3 linked regions of the Ovis aries genome follow. The protein of the gene in region 1 purifies or fractionates together with the protein of each later gene. This does not show direct contact. Links are inferred from orthologs where the notes say so. Each region holds a gene or a part of one and is shown in the gene's direction. Other genes may lie near its edges.

The links.
Region 2: the proteins of MEX3C (region 1) and MYCBP2 purify together in Homo sapiens (affinity purification with mass spectrometry; 3 studies listed by BioGRID and IntAct, with this or other methods). This does not show direct contact. The link is inferred for Ovis aries from reciprocal best matches to the Homo sapiens genes MEX3C and MYCBP2.
Region 3: the proteins of MEX3C (region 1) and AP2A1 purify together in Homo sapiens (affinity purification with mass spectrometry; 3 studies listed by BioGRID, with this or other methods). This does not show direct contact. The link is inferred for Ovis aries from reciprocal best matches to the Homo sapiens genes MEX3C and AP2A1.

Annotation. Positions count from the first base shown.
Region 1 is NC_056076.1:50,965,023-50,970,661, reverse strand, and holds the end of MEX3C (RNA-binding E3 ubiquitin-protein ligase MEX3C), read left to right. Parts: intron 1-1,278; coding exon 1,279-2,504; 3' UTR 2,505-4,318; downstream 4,319-5,639. UniProt on the Homo sapiens protein: E3 ubiquitin ligase responsible for the post-transcriptional regulation of common HLA-A allotypes. Binds to the 3' UTR of HLA-A2 mRNA, and regulates its levels by promoting mRNA decay.
Region 2 is NC_056063.1:53,028,817-53,034,648, reverse strand, and holds the start of MYCBP2 (E3 ubiquitin-protein ligase MYCBP2), read left to right. Parts: upstream 1-2,389; 5' UTR 2,390-2,703; coding exon 2,704-3,002; intron 3,003-5,832. UniProt on the Homo sapiens protein: Atypical E3 ubiquitin-protein ligase which specifically mediates ubiquitination of threonine and serine residues on target proteins, instead of ubiquitinating lysine residues.
Region 3 is NC_056067.1:55,869,257-55,874,850, forward strand, and holds the start of AP2A1 (AP-2 complex subunit alpha-1), read left to right. Parts: upstream 1-2,151; 5' UTR 2,152-2,269; coding exon 2,270-2,336; intron 2,337-5,594.

The DNA of each region.
Region 1 (5,639 bases):
TTGGCACTGGTAATGGCTGATTACTCCAAAAAGTAATCTTTGGGTAGTTATACATATGTATCTCAGATATTTTATTTATTTAACTTAAATATACTTAGGATTTAGAACCAAAGCCTTTTATTTGAGAATGGGACTGCCAGCCATTATAGTCCTTCAATAAAACCACACCCAATGACCATACTCCATACAATTTCCAATATGTTTCTTTTGAATTTAGCAAGAACTTCACAATGAACACAGAATTACTCTGGGTCAGTTTTTTTACCCCAAGATTTTACAGTTGTCTCACCCATAGTTCAACAGCATCTTTTTTTTTCTTTAAGTACTCATCATTATTGAAATTTTTAAAAATAATCAATTTTGATACAAATTCCATGTCTTGTATTTATATATCACTGCTTTATGTAATTATTAATTTAGTTAATGCATGAGTTCAGTTAGCATAAACAGATGGGGATAAAGACAACTCATTCTTAGTTAAGCCTGAAATCCAACTGATGGAACAGAAATGAGATGATGTGCTAACTTTGAGCACTTTGCTATTGTCATCAATTGAGTTTTACAGAGGAGAGAATGATGTTGAAGTAAAATGACGAGACAGTTAAGTGGAAGTCAGTTGGAGAACTTCTATCATCAGTATAGTTCTGTGGAATTTGAGGTTCTAGGACCAATAACAAAGACTATAGACTATGAAGTCAGACTAGGTTTAACGGTGGCTCTGCCTCTTACTTGCTGAGTGAACTCAGGCATGTTACACAATATTTCTGCGCTTTATTTTCCTTAGCAATAAAAGGAGTGTAACAGTCTCATCCTTAGGGTTGTTATGTAGATTAAATAAGATGATAGGTATCGTCTCACATTGTACATTAATATTTTTTCTTTGCCACCAACACCCTGCAAGGTAGTAAACTATTAGTGTTCTGAAAGTCAAATCCACTCATAGTGTAGCTGGCCTATTTCATGCATCATTCGCAATGACTAATAACAAGAGGAGGAAAACTATAAGCCTGTCCTCTGAGTTAAAGGCCTTCAGTGGAGGCGTCTCCTCTTTGCTGAGAATGAGAGGTCACAGGAAAGTACCCTCAGGACCCAGGAGTCATAGTGGAACTAGGAAAGCTTTATCAGCATTTAGTGATAAGAAATACGCTCAGACTTAAAGAGGGACGGAAAAACTGCCCCAAACCAGACTGTTATCCTGAAAGGAGCTTTCTGTAATTTGTCTTTTTCAATATTGTTGAAGTAGATGTTGATACTTAAAAAATATTTTCTTTCTAACAGGTTGTAAAATTAAAGCGCTGAGAGCCAAGACGAACACGTATATCAAAACACCAGTTCGTGGTGAAGAGCCCATTTTTGTTGTCACTGGACGGAAAGAAGATGTTGCCATGGCCAAACGAGAAATCCTGTCAGCTGCAGAGCACTTCTCCATGATTCGTGCATCTCGAAACAAAAATGGCCCTGCCCTGGGCGGGCTGTCCTGCAGCCCTAATCTGCCGGGTCAGACCACCGTTCAAGTCCGAGTGCCCTATCGTGTCGTAGGGCTGGTGGTCGGACCCAAAGGAGCAACCATTAAAAGAATCCAGCAGCAGACCCACACGTACATAGTGACTCCGAGCAGGGACAAGGAGCCCGTCTTTGAAGTGACAGGGATGCCCGAGAATGTTGACCGAGCCCGAGAAGAGATTGAGATGCATATTGCCATGCGCACAGGAAACTACATTGAGCTCAACGAAGAGAATGACTTCCATTACAACGGTACCGATGTCAGCTTTGAAGGTGGCACTCTGGGCTCTGCGTGGCTCTCCTCCAATCCCGTTCCTCCTAGCCGCGCCAGAATGATCTCCAATTATCGAAATGATAGTTCCAGTTCCCTGGGAAGCGGTTCCACAGATTCCTACTTTGGAAGCAATAGGCTGGCTGACTTTAGTCCAACAAGCCCATTTAGCACAGGAAACTTTTGGTTTGGAGATACACTACCTTCTGTAGGCTCAGAAGACCTTGCGGTTGATTCTCCTGCCTTTGACTCTCTACCAACATCCGCTCAAACTATCTGGACTCCGTTTGAACCAGTTAACCCACTCTCTGGCTTTGGGAGTGATCCTCCTGGTAACATGAAGACTCAGCGTAGAGGAAGTCAGCCATCTACTCCTCGTCTGTCTCCTACCTTTCCTGAGAGCATTGAACACCCACTTGCTCGGAGGGTTAGGAGCGACCCACCTAGTACAGGCAACCATGCTGGCCTTCCAATATACATCCCTGCTTTTTCTAATGGTACCAATAGTTACTCCTCTTCCAACGGTGGTTCCACCTCTAGCTCACCTCCAGAATCAAGACGAAAGCACGACTGTGTGATTTGCTTTGAGAATGAAGTTATTGCTGCCCTAGTTCCATGTGGCCACAACCTCTTCTGCATGGAATGTGCCAACAAGATCTGTGAAAAGAGAACGCCATCATGTCCAGTTTGCCAGACAGCTGTTACTCAGGCAATCCAAATTCACTCTTAACTATATATATATACATAAATACTATATCTCTATATGGACTCGTAAAGGCATGGGTATAATGGTACCCCCAGTAAACTTCCTAATGAATTCTTATGACTGTTATCAGGCTTTATTGGGATTAGGCTAAAGTTGTTAGTAAACTTATAAAAGGCTGCTATGGTAACACTAAACCTAAGTGGTCTCTTGTCTTAGTTTGGTTTGAATTATTAATCTTATCCTGTAGACCCAGAGACATAGCTTGTGTAAGAATTGCTAAAGCTGATGTTCAACTCGGCTGAGTGAAGATAATCATAGGTTATGTGAACCTATGAGAAAAGTGTATACGTCTAAGATTTCCAAATGATGGGTCCCAAAGCCTAACCACATTAAGAGTTTATGGAGGGTACGCGGCATTACAGATGACTCAGACACTTCCAGGGCTGCCTTCTTTACACTGCCAGTTTTGACAAAACAGGTCCGTTTGTTTTTTATTTTACAACAACTTATGCCTAATTCTGCAGGATTGCAAGTAACTTTTTAATGCATTGTGGTTACTTATTGGTAATAATAGGGCTGATGGCAGTTTACTCTATCACTGGTTATAATTTGGGACAAAAACTGCTACATTGACCTTCATCTCGCCCAGAGTGCTCCCGGCTGGTCTGATCAGTGGAGCAGGAATGCAGTTGTATCGATCGTGAATTCCTACCCATTGCCTCCCTCGGTGAATGTGGAAATGGCCACCTGGGTTTTTCCATTCCAGGAAAGGCTTTGGGGTGCACCTGCATTGGCTAATAATTGAGGATACGAACATTCCATTCATTAGTCTGATCAAGCTATTGATTAATTTTTAGACTATAGATCAAAATGTGAAACATTTTATGTTCAATCCATATTTGTCTTGCACATTATAAATGTATTTTTATTTTTTAGTAATTTAGGGGAGGGGGAGGGAGAGTGGGGTAACAATGCCCTTAGCATATTTACAGAAGCAGCTGTGACGACCTCCAATCAGTTTACTTCATTTCAAAACTTGTTTCCAATCACAAGGAAAGATTTCTTTAAGATACACTTTTTACATTTCACCTGTGGATGTCTGTGACTTTTCATCCTCAGTATGTTCCCAAATCTGCTGGCATTGAATGGATAAAACATTATACTGGTGGGTTTTTCTACTAATTATTTTTTGAAGCGTTATTTTCCCAACAAAAAAGAGCTTTTTTTCTCAGTATAACAAAAATTGAAATCCTATGTGTATTGAATAGTAAATAGACAAATTTTATTTTTTATTTCCACTTGAAGAGTTACATTTCGTATAAAAGTTTACAAATAACGGTTTTTATTTTGATTTTTTCAGTATAAAAAATTGCCTTGATGGCATATTATGATGTAATGCTAATTGCTTGTAGAATAGTTAAATGTCAGTATTGAAACCTAATCTTTAGCTGCCGTCTTGTAGATACAAACGAATGTTCACCAAGCATGTATTTTGTATTTTGTTGCATTGTACACTGCAACTAATAAGCCAAGGAATCGACATATATTAGGTGCGTGTACTGTTTCTAAAAACCACAAACTAAGAATGATAAATTATCAATATAGTTTAGTATTTGCTAATTTTACTACACTCTTTTGTTATGTATATGTAGGGAAGTCATAGGGATTATAAATTCAATTTGAGTAAAGTTTAAAACCATATATTTTATGATAAAGGGCCTTTAACTTAAGATGGCCAAAGCACTGATATTATATATTTGCTGTAAAGAGAATTATAAGAGTTTTATTTTTCTGATATTAAAAGTTACTTAATAAAGACTTGTTTCCATTAACTTGAATGTATTCTCCTTGGTGTTTTTCATGTATTCCTTAGTTTACGCTGGAAGACTGCTACTTGCCAGAATTGAAAACGTCCTTTAACAAGAGTTTCTCCTCTCCCTAGCCAGTGATCCATGTTCTAGGTGTGGAATGTGTTGTAGCGTCTTTCTTTGAATAAGTGTCACATTATAATAAATCTAGAGATTTGGCGAGTTTTAGATTATATAGTTGCATGTTTATATAGTTGACCACATAATCACTGTTAATCTAATATGCATAAAATAGTGATTTATACATATTAATGTTAACTAACGTCCTGAACTCAACTTAGACTTAGTTTTTATCCTTTGTTACAGATTGTCCTTTTATCACCAAAACTATAAAACAAATTTTTTCTAGTATGAAGGTGCAAGTTTTTAACTTTTAATTCTGAAGTACCTTCTGAAAGACTTTGTGGTTGATTAAAAATATATATATATATTGCTCCATTAATGAAAATGACTTTGCTGACTAGAATAAATTGTTGCTTTTTGGTAAAAAGCAAGAATAAAGACACTTCTGGATTGTTTTACTGAAACCAAAATTCTGTCCTTAGTACTTAGGGGTATTACACAGCCATAGGAAATCTTTCCATCATAAGTTTTGAACAAATTCTCAGGCTGTGCTAGATAACTCTGGAATGTATAGATTTGGTGATGGGCAGGATCATTGCCCTGTGGAATTATTTCACTCATTTTAGGATTAGCCTCCAGAAGTATGAAAGTCAGATTATTTGACTATGTTGTAGTTTTACAATTCCAGCATAGACTGAGAGGTGAATATGAATTTTAACTTGCACATAGTATAAGGTCAAGATCTTTCAGAGGACCTTGAAAATAATCTCCAAGGCTTTCCTTGCCAAAACTTTGTCTGAAATTAATATCAGCAAAATTGATAAACACTTTTCCAAGGTCTCCGTCTGAACCTGCCTTCCCTCATAAGCCTACATCCATTTTCTTGTTCAAGGAAGTACCAGGAGAGGGCCTCCATGGACCCTGTGGACCAGTGTTAGCAGAGAATTGTTGCACCATACTGGATAATCTGCAGTGTGGATAATCAAGGATTAGACAAACCTGTTGAAAACTTGACATTATTTGTTTACACGGCCTTAGAGGCTAGATGCGAAGCTGCAAATGTGAGGATCAGATAACAGCTTAGTTATAATGTTATGTGACTCTTTCTATAAAGGAATTTATCAAAGTGTCCACTTGCAAAATAGGTTTTTAGCAAGAGTGAGAAAGGCTAGAAGAGTTAGGTTTAGAAAATAGAACAGGAATGTTACTACACTTCAAGTTATTCTTA
Region 2 (5,832 bases), on another chromosome or scaffold:
AAGGCTGCAAGTGAAAGTCACTCAGTCCTGTCCAACTCTTTGTGACCCTATAGACTATACAGTCCATGAAATTCTCCTGGCTAGAATATTGGAGTGGGTTGCCATTCCCTTCTCCAGAGGATCTTCCCAACCCAGGGATCGAACCCAGGTCTCCCACATTGCAGGGGGATTCTTTACCAGCTGAGCCACAAGGGAAGCCCAAGAATACCTGGAGTGGGTAGCCTATCCCTTCTCCAGGGAATCTTCCCAACCCAGGAATCGAACCAGGAATTGAACCAGGGTCTCCTGTGTTGCAAGCAGATTTTTTAACAGCTGAGCTACCAGGGAGGCCCCATTAGAGGATGAAACTTGTCCAAAAACATACAAATAGCAGAGTCAGAACCCAAACTTTCCCGTGCCAGAGCCTTTTGGCTATCTCTCTGGCTCTTACAACAGTATTAGCCCTTAGAGCCGCTAGGAGTCCGCCTTTCACTCCACCAGCATTTAGCTGCCTCTATCGTGTCTTGGCTCTCATCCCAGGCTTGGTAGGGGGGTTGGGGGATGGGAGGAGGGGATGGGAGAGGGGAGCAGGGAGCAGGGACGGGCAGTTTAACACAGGTGGGTAACCATGGTGGAGCATCAGCACAGGAAATTTCACCCGATAAATAACTGCTGGATATCTACCATAGGCAAGGTTCTAGACCAGGTGCTGAGGAAGACATCAAGATAAACAAAAAGCCGTGAAGGAGCTTATAAGATAGCTGAGGCAACAAGATAAATACAAAATCTGTACAACAGAGCTACACACACGAGGAAAATACTATGATTTCCCCTGCCTGTCCTTTGTCCCATGGCTTTATTATTCCACTTCTACTTATCTTTTTATAATCAAAATGATATCCATTTATTATTCAAAGCCCCAGATAAAAAGGAATCCTTCAGCACTGTCTCCCCATAAAAACTAGAATTATTTTAATTTCTCCACTACTTGTTTGTACTTCTCCAAACAGTAAACAGGGCTTGATTTTTTTTTTCCTGCTAAAGAACATTCAAAGAGGCTTAAGAGCCAGTAAGTACATAAAAGATATGTGTGCTTATGTGCTCAGTCATATCCGAATCTTTGTGACCCTTTGGACTGTAGCCCACCAGGCTGCTCTGTCCATGGGATGTCCATGGAGTGGGTTGCCATTTCCTTCTCCATGGGGTTTTCGGGTTCCAGGGATTGACCCTGCTTCTCCTGTGTCTCCCGTTGAGAGGGAGACTGGGGGGGTGGGGGGTGGGGGGGGGATGTGTGCACAGGGATGACCCAGAGGGATGGTATGGGGAGGGAGGTGGGAGGGGGGTTCAGGATGGGGAACACATGTACACCCATGGTGGATTCATGTCAATGTATGGCAAAACCAATTCAATATTGTAAAATAATTAGCCTCCAATTAAATAAATTTATATAAAAAAACAAAAGGATAAAATTTAATAGGAATCAGGGTACTTCGGCACATATATTTCTAGAGCATTTACTTTGAAGAAGTTAGTAGAGTAACTGGGAAGAGGGGACTCAGCAAATATTACATTTATAGATAACACTGATAAGATCTTTGGTAGATATGACATTTGCTTAATTACACAGTCTGTCACAACTGTAGTTTCAGGTAATATACAAGAATTATCTTTAGTGATGTAAATGTGGGCTGAGAAAGATGAGTCATGAAGTATCCACTGTCAAGAGATGAGTGCCCCCTCCTCTTAGGGTGAATGTGGAGTTAAAGAATATTTGAGAGAAGCACTACTGCATTAAGTCTTAGCTCGGATATAAATGTTAAGAACAAGAACTTGGGAAAGACTTTGGCTTGTGAATCCTCTCCTACCTGGGAGCTATAATTTCACAGGAAAAAAAAAAAAAAGAGGGTACACCAAATTACTACCTGCCTTCGGTAAGTAAAAGCTATTTTTAACAGACTTAAATCCTAATGACAAATAACCCCAAACGAAGACCACCAAAGGTACTTCTAATTCGGCTGGCCTCCTTTGCCTTGAATTCTGAGTTCAACTAGCACATTCACAGTAAATCTTCCCGCTGGCAGCGCACGCTTTGGGGAAAGGGAACAGGAATACAGAACGATCATCCTCCCGCGGCGGGCACCGGCTCTCTCTTTCAGATTCCAGTTCTCCCACCTGGATGGAACCCAGGTACCTGAAGCCGCCTGGATGGAGCTGACAGCTTCCCCAGCACTTTCCTGACTCTTCCTCAAGCCGCTAGTAAAACCCGGAGAAGTGGACTTTTTCCCGATCCCGCACGCCACCCCGGTCCCACACCCAGTGCCCGGAGGCGGAGGCAGTGGCGGCGGAGAGGGGGTGGGGCGGGAACGGGGGGCCGGAGGGACTGAGCGTGCGCGAGGAGTGGCGCATGCCCAGAGCGGCCGGCCGCTTCCCATTGCGGGTGGCTCCGGCGGTGGCAGCGGAGGCGGCGGCGGGTGCAGCGGCGGCACCGCCTCCTCCTAACACTCCCGGGGTGGCGGGGTTAGATGAGCGGCCCCAGTAGTGGCGAGGGCGGCGCGGGGGGGAGGAGGAGAAGAAGGAGGAGAAGGAGGAGGTCGCTGTCTTTGTAGTCTCAGCTGCTGCGGGAGCGAGAGGCCGCCGCCGGAGCCGTCGTCGTTGGAAAAGGGCTGTGTGTGCGCGCGCGTGTCTGCCTGCCCGGCCCGCGGGGACGAGGCGGCGGCGAGGAGGATGATGTGCGCAGCTACCGCCTCTCCCGCCGCCGCCTCCTCGGGGCCCGGCGGAGACGGATTCTTCCCGGCCGCTACCATCTCTTCCTCCCCGGCGCCGGGGGCGCTGTTCATGCCGCTTCCCGAGGGCTCCTTGGCGGCCGCGGGGCTGGGGCTGGGGTTGCCGGCCCCGGACTCCCGGGGTCACTACCAGCTGCTCCTGTCAGGCCGGGCCCTGGCCGACCGCTACCGGAGGATTTACACAGCTGCGCTCAGTGACAGGGACCAGGGGGGCAGCAGCGCTGGACACCCGGCCTCCAGGTGCGTCTCCGGGTGCCCTTCTTTGCGCCACATGCTGCATGTGCGCCCGTGTGTGTGTGTGTGTGTGTGTGTGTGTGTGTGTGTGTGTGTGTGTCAGTGACAGTGTGTGTGTCTGTCTACATACGTGTTTATCGAGCTGTCTTTCAGCCAGCACTAGATGCTAAGTGGTAGAAGCACTTACTGAGAAAGGAGGGTGCGGTGGCAGCAGTTTCTCCTCTTTTAAGTGTGTGTGACTGTCTTTGTTGGGGGGCGAGGGAGGGTGGAAACGGGGAGCGTGCGATGCTAGAAAAGGTGATGGTGCGGGTCGGTTAGGACACGTGTCTGTGTATTGTTGAAGCAGGAGGAGGGCTGAGCGGAGGGTCATGCACGAAGAGAATTTGCAGGAGCGATGAGGGAACTGGCGTGTCCAGTGTCTTTGCCGCAATGGTATTTGCACGTATTTCTCACCCCCTCCCCTCCCCCCATTCCCTCAGGACATTCCATCCTCACCTTTCCTCCTCCCTTAAAAAAAAAATCTGCCTTTCACTAGGGGAAGCAATGGTATCGGTTAAGGATAATGTCATATATATAGGATGAGTTTAGGATAAGACAGGGGATTTCAGTTTACGAGATAGATGCGAAAGGGATACAGATGGAGGTTTTCCCTGGATGTGAAAGGTGTCTGATACAGATTTCTAGAGCTGTACTTTGATAACTAGAGCTTTGGGTCCTCTGGAGACAGGGTTACAGCAGCTCTCGTGGTCTGTTGTCCCATCGGCCATTTCCCTTCATCTTCTGTTCTATTTCCTCAGTTACTTTTCTGCCTTAGACTAGAGGGGGTTTTGTGGGGGAAAAGGGGAAACCTGGAAAACTCCAAAAGGTGACAGCTGGTGTAGTGATCAACTGCCACCAACTAGAACGTTTGAGCAGCTCCTAGAATTTCAAGACTCGGTGCACCTACAGCTCCCTTGGTGGAGGAGATGTGAAATCACTTTCATTTTCTTTTTCTTAAAATGTAGGTGTCTCTTTGCTTAAGTCTCTGCTATTGTTTTCCTGCCCATGCCTTTACATGCCACATACCTTGAAGCATGGTGACTGACTTGTTTCACCAGCTTGGCTTTGGCAGTGATAATTGGGAGCTGGCTTCGTCTTTTTTCCCCCCCTCACACCTTCTTGCAGTACATAAGGAAAGCATAGGAGGATTTTTGCTGAACAAGTTAGAGAGTTCACTGTAGGTTTTGAATGTGCAGTTTGTTCGGTAATAACCAGATGTCATTTTCTCTCATATGAGAGGGGCTAGGCTGTGAGTCAGGTATTTGTGGTTGACCAGTGTGGACTGTGGCTCCTGTCCACTGCAGAGAGGTAAACATTTCTTCTGGTCTATATTCTTGTTTATAGGACGGGGACTTTAGTTTTATCATACTGATATAAATGTATATAACTAACTACCCTTGGCTATCTAAATTAAAGGCCACAATGTCACAAGTCTGTTTCTTGCTAATGTTTTTGAAAATAGCACAAAACCTCAATGGACAGTTTGCTGTAATAATTAGGTGTAATTTTGAGCTGTGAGTCTTTTAATTATGGCACTGTAGGTGTATCTTTACAAACCCCTTTTAAAGAATTTGAATTTATTTCATATGCTGTTTCCAGACTTATGCAATAATTTGTGACTGGCATGTTCCCTGTTTTAGCTTTCTACTACTGTATTCGTGCAGTAATACTGTTTCTGTGTATTTAGAACTGTATAAACAGTTTTAGGCAAAATTAATACAGATTAACCACATATATAAAGTGTATGAATGATTTTTAGTCTTTGGTTTATTTTTGTACAAGCTGTCAGTTAAAATTAGTGAAGGATTAGTTTACGTACTATATTTCAAGAAGTACTCGTGAAACAAGCTTTAAGTTGTATGATATTGCCTTCCAGTGCTTGTTCAGAACATTATTTTAGTTCACATTATTTTTTCTAAGTCATTGCCGGCAACTACTCTTTATTGAGGATTTGCTGAAGAATTAAGTCACATTTCATATTAAATACTAATGGGGAAAGTGGAGCTGGAATTTAGGTTCTGAATGAATGATGTAATTATTGGTATGGGGCACTAGTTGAGATAGAGGAAAAGGTGAAATGTTTCAGAGACAGAATGGAGCAAGAATAGAAGATGAAGTTCTAGTGAAAATCAGGTTTAAAAGTGTGAGAGAAGGACGACAGTGAAGTAAGGTCAAAAAAGATTTTAAAAAATTAAGAGAACTGTGGCACAGCAGCACCTCTGGTTGGACTGGAAAGTCCTCAGCAGGGTTAAATGTTGAAGAAAGTGAGAATACTATCCAGGCCACTGGTGACTTTTGAGGAAGTGGTCAAGATGTGTTTGTAAGAGAGGTGTGGTTAAGGAGTCCATGGGATACTTTAGGGTAATAGGGGGATGTAGGGCTGAGGGAAGGTTATTTGAGTGTGGGAGAGTAGGTGGGAAATGTTCAGTAAGTGGAGGAGGAGAAATTAAAGAAGTGAGAGAGGGGATAATCCTTGGGGGGAAGTCTAAGGGAGATCTCAGGGACAGATTAACATGACAGGTGAAGAGGTTAGCCACTAAAAATGTTAGGAGCTAGTCATCCTTTAATATAGAATTGGAGGAGGTACATATTTATAAATCTAAAGACCAGGAGTTTATGAAGAACTGTATCTTTTTTATTTTGGTAATCCTAATGTGTAGCAGAAGTTTTGGCGTCTGTTCTGTAGATATCCAGTACCTGCTTTGTGCCAGGGATTGTTTGAGGTGCTGAAGATGTAGCAGTGAGCAAGACAGACAAGGTCTCTATCCTCCTTGGAATTTTCACTCAAGGAGGGAGA
Region 3 (5,594 bases), on another chromosome or scaffold:
TCCGACTCTTTGTGACCCCATGGACTGCAGCCCGCCAGGCTGCTCTGTCCATGAGATTCTCCAGGCAAGAATACCGGAGTGGGTTGCCATGCCCTCCCCTAGGGGATCTTCTCAACCCAGGGATTAAACCCACTGAGCCACCAGGGAAGCCCAATATTTGGGTGCATGGGGTTAAATGAAATATATTATTAAGATTCATCTCACCTTTTCTTTTTACTTTAATGCGGGAGGAGCATATTTGTGACTGTATTTGTGGCTCCCACTGCATTTCTTTTGGAAGGTGCTGCTCTAACTTGGCACTGGTGAGCCCATGAGCTCCTGTCCAGGGTGCCACATCCATCCCCATGAAGTCTAGGAAGAGGGTGTCTTTTCCCTCTTCCTTAGGGACATAATTCTGTTCATCCGGCTCTGGATGTCTCTCTTCGCATCCCCTGAAAAGCAGACTAATTCCAACCCACTACTATCTGTCTGGTATCTATCTATATTTAATGGTGTTATCCTCAGGGAGAAAAGTGCTTCTTCCCTTGTCATGGACTCCTCCAGTCCTTGGATTGCTTGAGATTATCTTCCATAAAAAGGAGTTTTTCCAACTCCTATTGGTCCTAATAGTTTGTTGTTATTGTTGTTTATGGGGCCATTCTATATAGTCTTCAGGGGCAGACAGCCTCCCCCAACACCAGAGATGTTTGTCCTCCTAGAATCCAGAATAGACTTTCCCAAGCCCCATCCCTGGAAACCCAAATGGACGAATCCATTGAACCTGGAAGATGGGCTCTTCTGCCCCGTCCCCATCTCCCCCAGGGGATCTTCCCGGACCCGTGACACTCCTAAGGCTCAATCCAAGCATACTAGATTTCTGATATTGGAAAAGCCTGACTGGGGACTTAGTTCCTCTAGGTGCTAGAATGGACTCTTCCAGTTCCCTTTGCCTCAAATTTCTCAATAGCCCGGGGCGTTGGGGTTTCTGAGGTTTTGCCTTCCCCAAATACAGTCTAACGAGAACGTCTCAAGCGGTGTTGGTTGGGCCAAACAAAGCGGGCTCACCGACCGCTTTCCTTATGCAACGTTCTTCATTCATTACCGGGTCCCCTTCTTGTTCAGGAAGAACTCAAAGTCTGGTGGAAAGACTCGCAATTTGTACTTGATATCTATTTAATGGTGTTACAGTTGCAACAACAAAGCCATTGTATATGAGAAAGTAGTTAAATGTTAGAATATAGTTTAATCCTCCCGAGCTCTGTGACCTTGGGCATGTCATTCAACCTCTCTGGACGTCAGTTTTAACCTCTGCTTAATGGGAGTAGACTCGAATTACTGTTTCTTCAGCTCTGGGATACTAGGCTTCCGGGCAAGTTAGATCCCAACATCTCGGCGGCTAGAGAAGAGAAAGGAAGAAGGGAGGGGGAGGAGGTAGGGACGGCTCCCAGGAAGAAGATTTAAGGAGTCCGGAGGTGGCGGAGAGGAGGGGAAAAAAAAAAAAAAGGGAACAGAAAGACGCTTGCGCAGTAAGCACCTCACGCTCTCCCGCCCCTCCCAACTCCTTCTCTGCAGCAGGGAATTGCAGGAGCCGCTCCACCTATCCCAGCCCAGGCGAGTAACGACCCCCCTTTCTCCTTCCTTCTCTACGGATCGTAGCCCTCCTCCTTTGCCCCAGACACCGGCCCAATCGAAGGCGGGCGTAGGACTGGCTCGGCGAATCCGCGACGCCCGCGGGGGCGATCTACCCGCCCATTGGCCTCAGTAAACGTGAGTCCCGCCTCTGCAAGTCCACGCCCCCTCCGTCCTTCGCGTCCGTCCCTCCCTCCTGGGAGAGCCCCCGGATCCAATCGGTCCCTCACCCGGCCGAGCGGAGGGGGCGGTTCCACTGTACGTCACGAACTCCGCCCGTCGCTCAGGCAACGCCCCCACCCCCTCCACTCGCGAGCGGAAATAGCGGGGCGCTGGACCAATCGGAGCCGCACGCCTTTGTCCAGCGACCAATGAGACAGGCGGAGGGGCCGAGCCTGTGTCTGAGCGCCAGTAATTGCAGCCTATAGGCGGCCCCGAGAGCGCAGGCTGGCGGAGGCGAGGGGAGGGGCCTGGGGCGGAGCCGCGGCCTGCCCGCCCGCCCGCCCGCCAGCCCGCCCTCCCCGCCCGCCCGCCCCCCGCCCCGGCCGGCTCGGCTTCTCAGCGCTGCCTGGGGTCCTTTCCTCCCGGTTCCCCCCCGCCTGCCAGCCCCCGCCGTGCGGTGCCCTGCCCGGCCAGGCCTGGAGCCGACGCCACCGCCATCATGCCGGCCGTGTCCAAGGGCGATGGGATGCGGGGGCTCGCCGTGTTCATCTCCGACATCCGGAACTGTGAGAGCGCGGTCGGGGGAGATCGGGCAAAGGGGAGAGCGTGAAATTGAAGGGTTCGGGGGGGCGTTACAGAGGGGCCCAAGGATTAGAAATCCATTGCGGCCCTAGAGTGAGAGGCGAGAGAGGCCACCGGAGGGGGGAACTTAAGGGTGGGTTCGGGGGAATGGAGGGGGTTAGGGTGTCATAGTGTGCTTCTCGAGGTGACAACGCGGAGTGGTTAGAGGCATCGCGGAGGGTCTTAATAGAGGAGACTAGTAAAGTCCCGGGAACAGGGCATAGAGGTGTCCCCTGGGAGTGGAAGGAACGCTGGGGGATCATATTAGCGGTAGGGTTAGAGAGATCCCTGTTGTAGATAAAAAAGGAAGAAGGTGCATGGGTGGGAGGGTGGGTGGGGGTACCCTGTGGAGAGGTAGAATAGGAGGAGGCCAGAGAGAACTGGGAGGACGCGAAACACAGGAAACCTAAAAGGAATCGGGCTTGAGGGCCTGGGCGAGGGGGTGTCATAGAGGCCAAGGGGCTAGACAGGTCATGGAGGCGCTCAGCTGGTTCATAGAGAGGACTTGAGAATGATAGAAAGTCCCAGGGATTTGGGGAGGAGAGATGGGAACAAGGGAGACTCTCTGGGACCTTGGTGAGGCACAGAGGGGCTCCTGGATGGAGGATTGCTTAGGAGATGTGGCGGGCAGTGAAGAAGGGGCTAGAGGGGTTACTGAGGGGAGCACGGAGAAGCGCTGCAGATGGAGAGTCTTGGGAGAACCTGAAACAGGGAGCTGGGGGGCCTGGAAAGGAGAGGTCATTATCATGTGGGGACTTGGGGGAAGTGCCAGAAGGGAGAGAGCTCAGATCTCAAAGAAGGGGCCTGGGGGGCCTTAGACATCCATGGGGAAGAGATCTGGAAAGCTGGTGGGCATGGGGGGAAGCCTGGTTCCAGAGGGGTCATGGGTCGGGGAGCAGGACAGCCCTGAATCTGGAGCCCTCTCCCCTCTGACCACATCAACATGGGGACAGCCCTCACCAGCAGGAAGAATGGTCGTGACTATGGGAGGCCTGGCGCCAAGTCAGCTCCCAGCTCTTGGGAGCGGGTGTTGGTGTTTGGAGCTGCCAAGAGCTTCAGAAGCTGTATCCGCACAGGCTCCGGGGTCAGCCAGGCTTCGGTTTGAGTTTGACTGCTCCCATCCCCTTGCCTTGTGACCTTGAATGAGGGACTTCACCTCTCGGTTTCCTCATCTGTCAGGAGGGACTGCTGATGGCATCTTCCTGATGGGGTTGTGATGATAACCGAATGTGAGTGAGGCGTTTCACACATTCCAGGCACAAGGTGTCTTGGCTCCTGTTTTTGTAACTTGGCCGAATCTGAGGAGCGGCCTCTGCAAGTGCCCAGTGATGATTTTAGAATTTAGCAGGTATGGGATGATCTGGCACATAGTAGGTGCTCAGTGAGCAAGAAGGGTGGAAACTTGGGTACCAAGTGGCAGAGGGAGGTTATGTTTGTTAGGAAAGGGGTGGAGCATTGAGGGGTTGTGGGTTGTGGTGGAGGGCAGGTGTTAGAAGAAGGTGTGCACTGCCTCTGACACCTACCTTGTGACCCTTGGCAAGTCATTCAACCTCTTGAAGGCTCCATTTTCTTGTCAGCTGACTCCATTGACCAGAACATCTTGCCTCTGAAGGTTCATTCATTCGTTCTCACTTGACAAATGCGTTTTGATCAATCCAGTGTGCCAGACACTTCTAGGGACGAGGGCTACCACAGTGAACAGAAATCCCTGCCCCTTGGAGCACTCGTGCCAGGAGGGAGATTAAATTATAAACACAGAGAACTACAGATGATGACTAGTGCTGTGAAGAAAAATAAGGACAGGAAGAGGGGGAAGGGAACAGGATTGAGAAGGGGCAAGTGGTACAGATTTTGGAGGCAAGAGGGGTCCAGGCAGCGGAATGGTGTGTTCAAAGGTCCTGAGGTTGTAGCACACTTGGTGAGGATTCAGATAAGAGCGAGGGGGCTTGTGGGCTTGTGTGGTTGGAGCCAAGCAAGGGAGGGTGGGAGAGGTGGGAGATTTGGGCAGAGAAGAGACAGGGAGCAGGTAGGGCTTTGTGGGCCATGGGGAGCACCTTGGCCTTTCTCTGAAGCGAGAGTGGCAGGAAGGTTTTGAGCATGGGAGGGATGGGACCTAACTGATGTTTTAAAATAGTTCCTCTGGCTGCTGGATAGAGAGTAGACCCAAGGAGGTAGGAATGGAAGCAGGGAAAGAATTAGGGGGCTGTTGCAGGCATCCCCGCGCGAGATGGTGATTTACTCGACTGGGGTGGGAAGGAATCCCTGAGAAGTGTTTGGGTTAGAGATAGATCTTGGAGGATCTCCAAAGGGATTGGATGGTGGGGGTGGGGAAGGAAAGAGAAAACAAGTGGGTGTCACTGCTGGACCCCAGAGGGAAGCCAGAGGATGGAGGAGATACTCTGACTTGGGGGCAGTGGAGGTCGTTTAGCTGAAAGAATCAGGACTGGAGGATCAGGGTGCCGCTTGTCCTTGGTTTTCTCATCGAGTGTATGTTTCATGGCTGGTATGTTTCAAACCTTATCGTGGGTGCTGGGAACACAGTGGTAGATAGGACAGACTTGTCTGTTCCCCCATGAACCTCCCGGCCCCAGAGGGAGACAGGAACTGCATAAAAATTGCAGCTGTCCATCTCCCAAACACTTGTATATGGATGTTCGTACAGCATCGTTGATGATCCATAGCCAGAGAGCACAAACAAACCCAGATGCCCACCAGCAGATGGATGGAAAAACACAGTGTGGACGCCCACACGATGGAATGTTATTCAGCCATCAAAAAGAATGAAAGACTGTGGAGGTCACAGCATGAGTGAACCTCGAAAACATCATTTTGAGGGAAAGAAGCCAGACATAAGAGGCTACATATTGTAGGATTCCATGATACGAAACGTGCAGAAGCAGCAAATCCAGAGAATCAGAAAGTGGTTGAGTGACTGCCTAGGGCGAGGGGTGGTGGAATGTGGAGTGACTTCTAATGAGAACAGGGTTTCTTTAGGGGGTAATGAGAATGTGCTGGAGTTAGATGGTGGTGGTAGATGGACAGTGCTTTGGATCTACTAAAGAAACCCTGATTGGCACTGCCGAGTGGTGAGCTGTGTGCTGTGTGAATCGTAGCTCCATTTTTCTTTGACTGAAGTACAGTTGATGTATAATATTGTGTTAGTTTCAGGGGTACAGCAAAGTGATTCGGTTATACATACATGT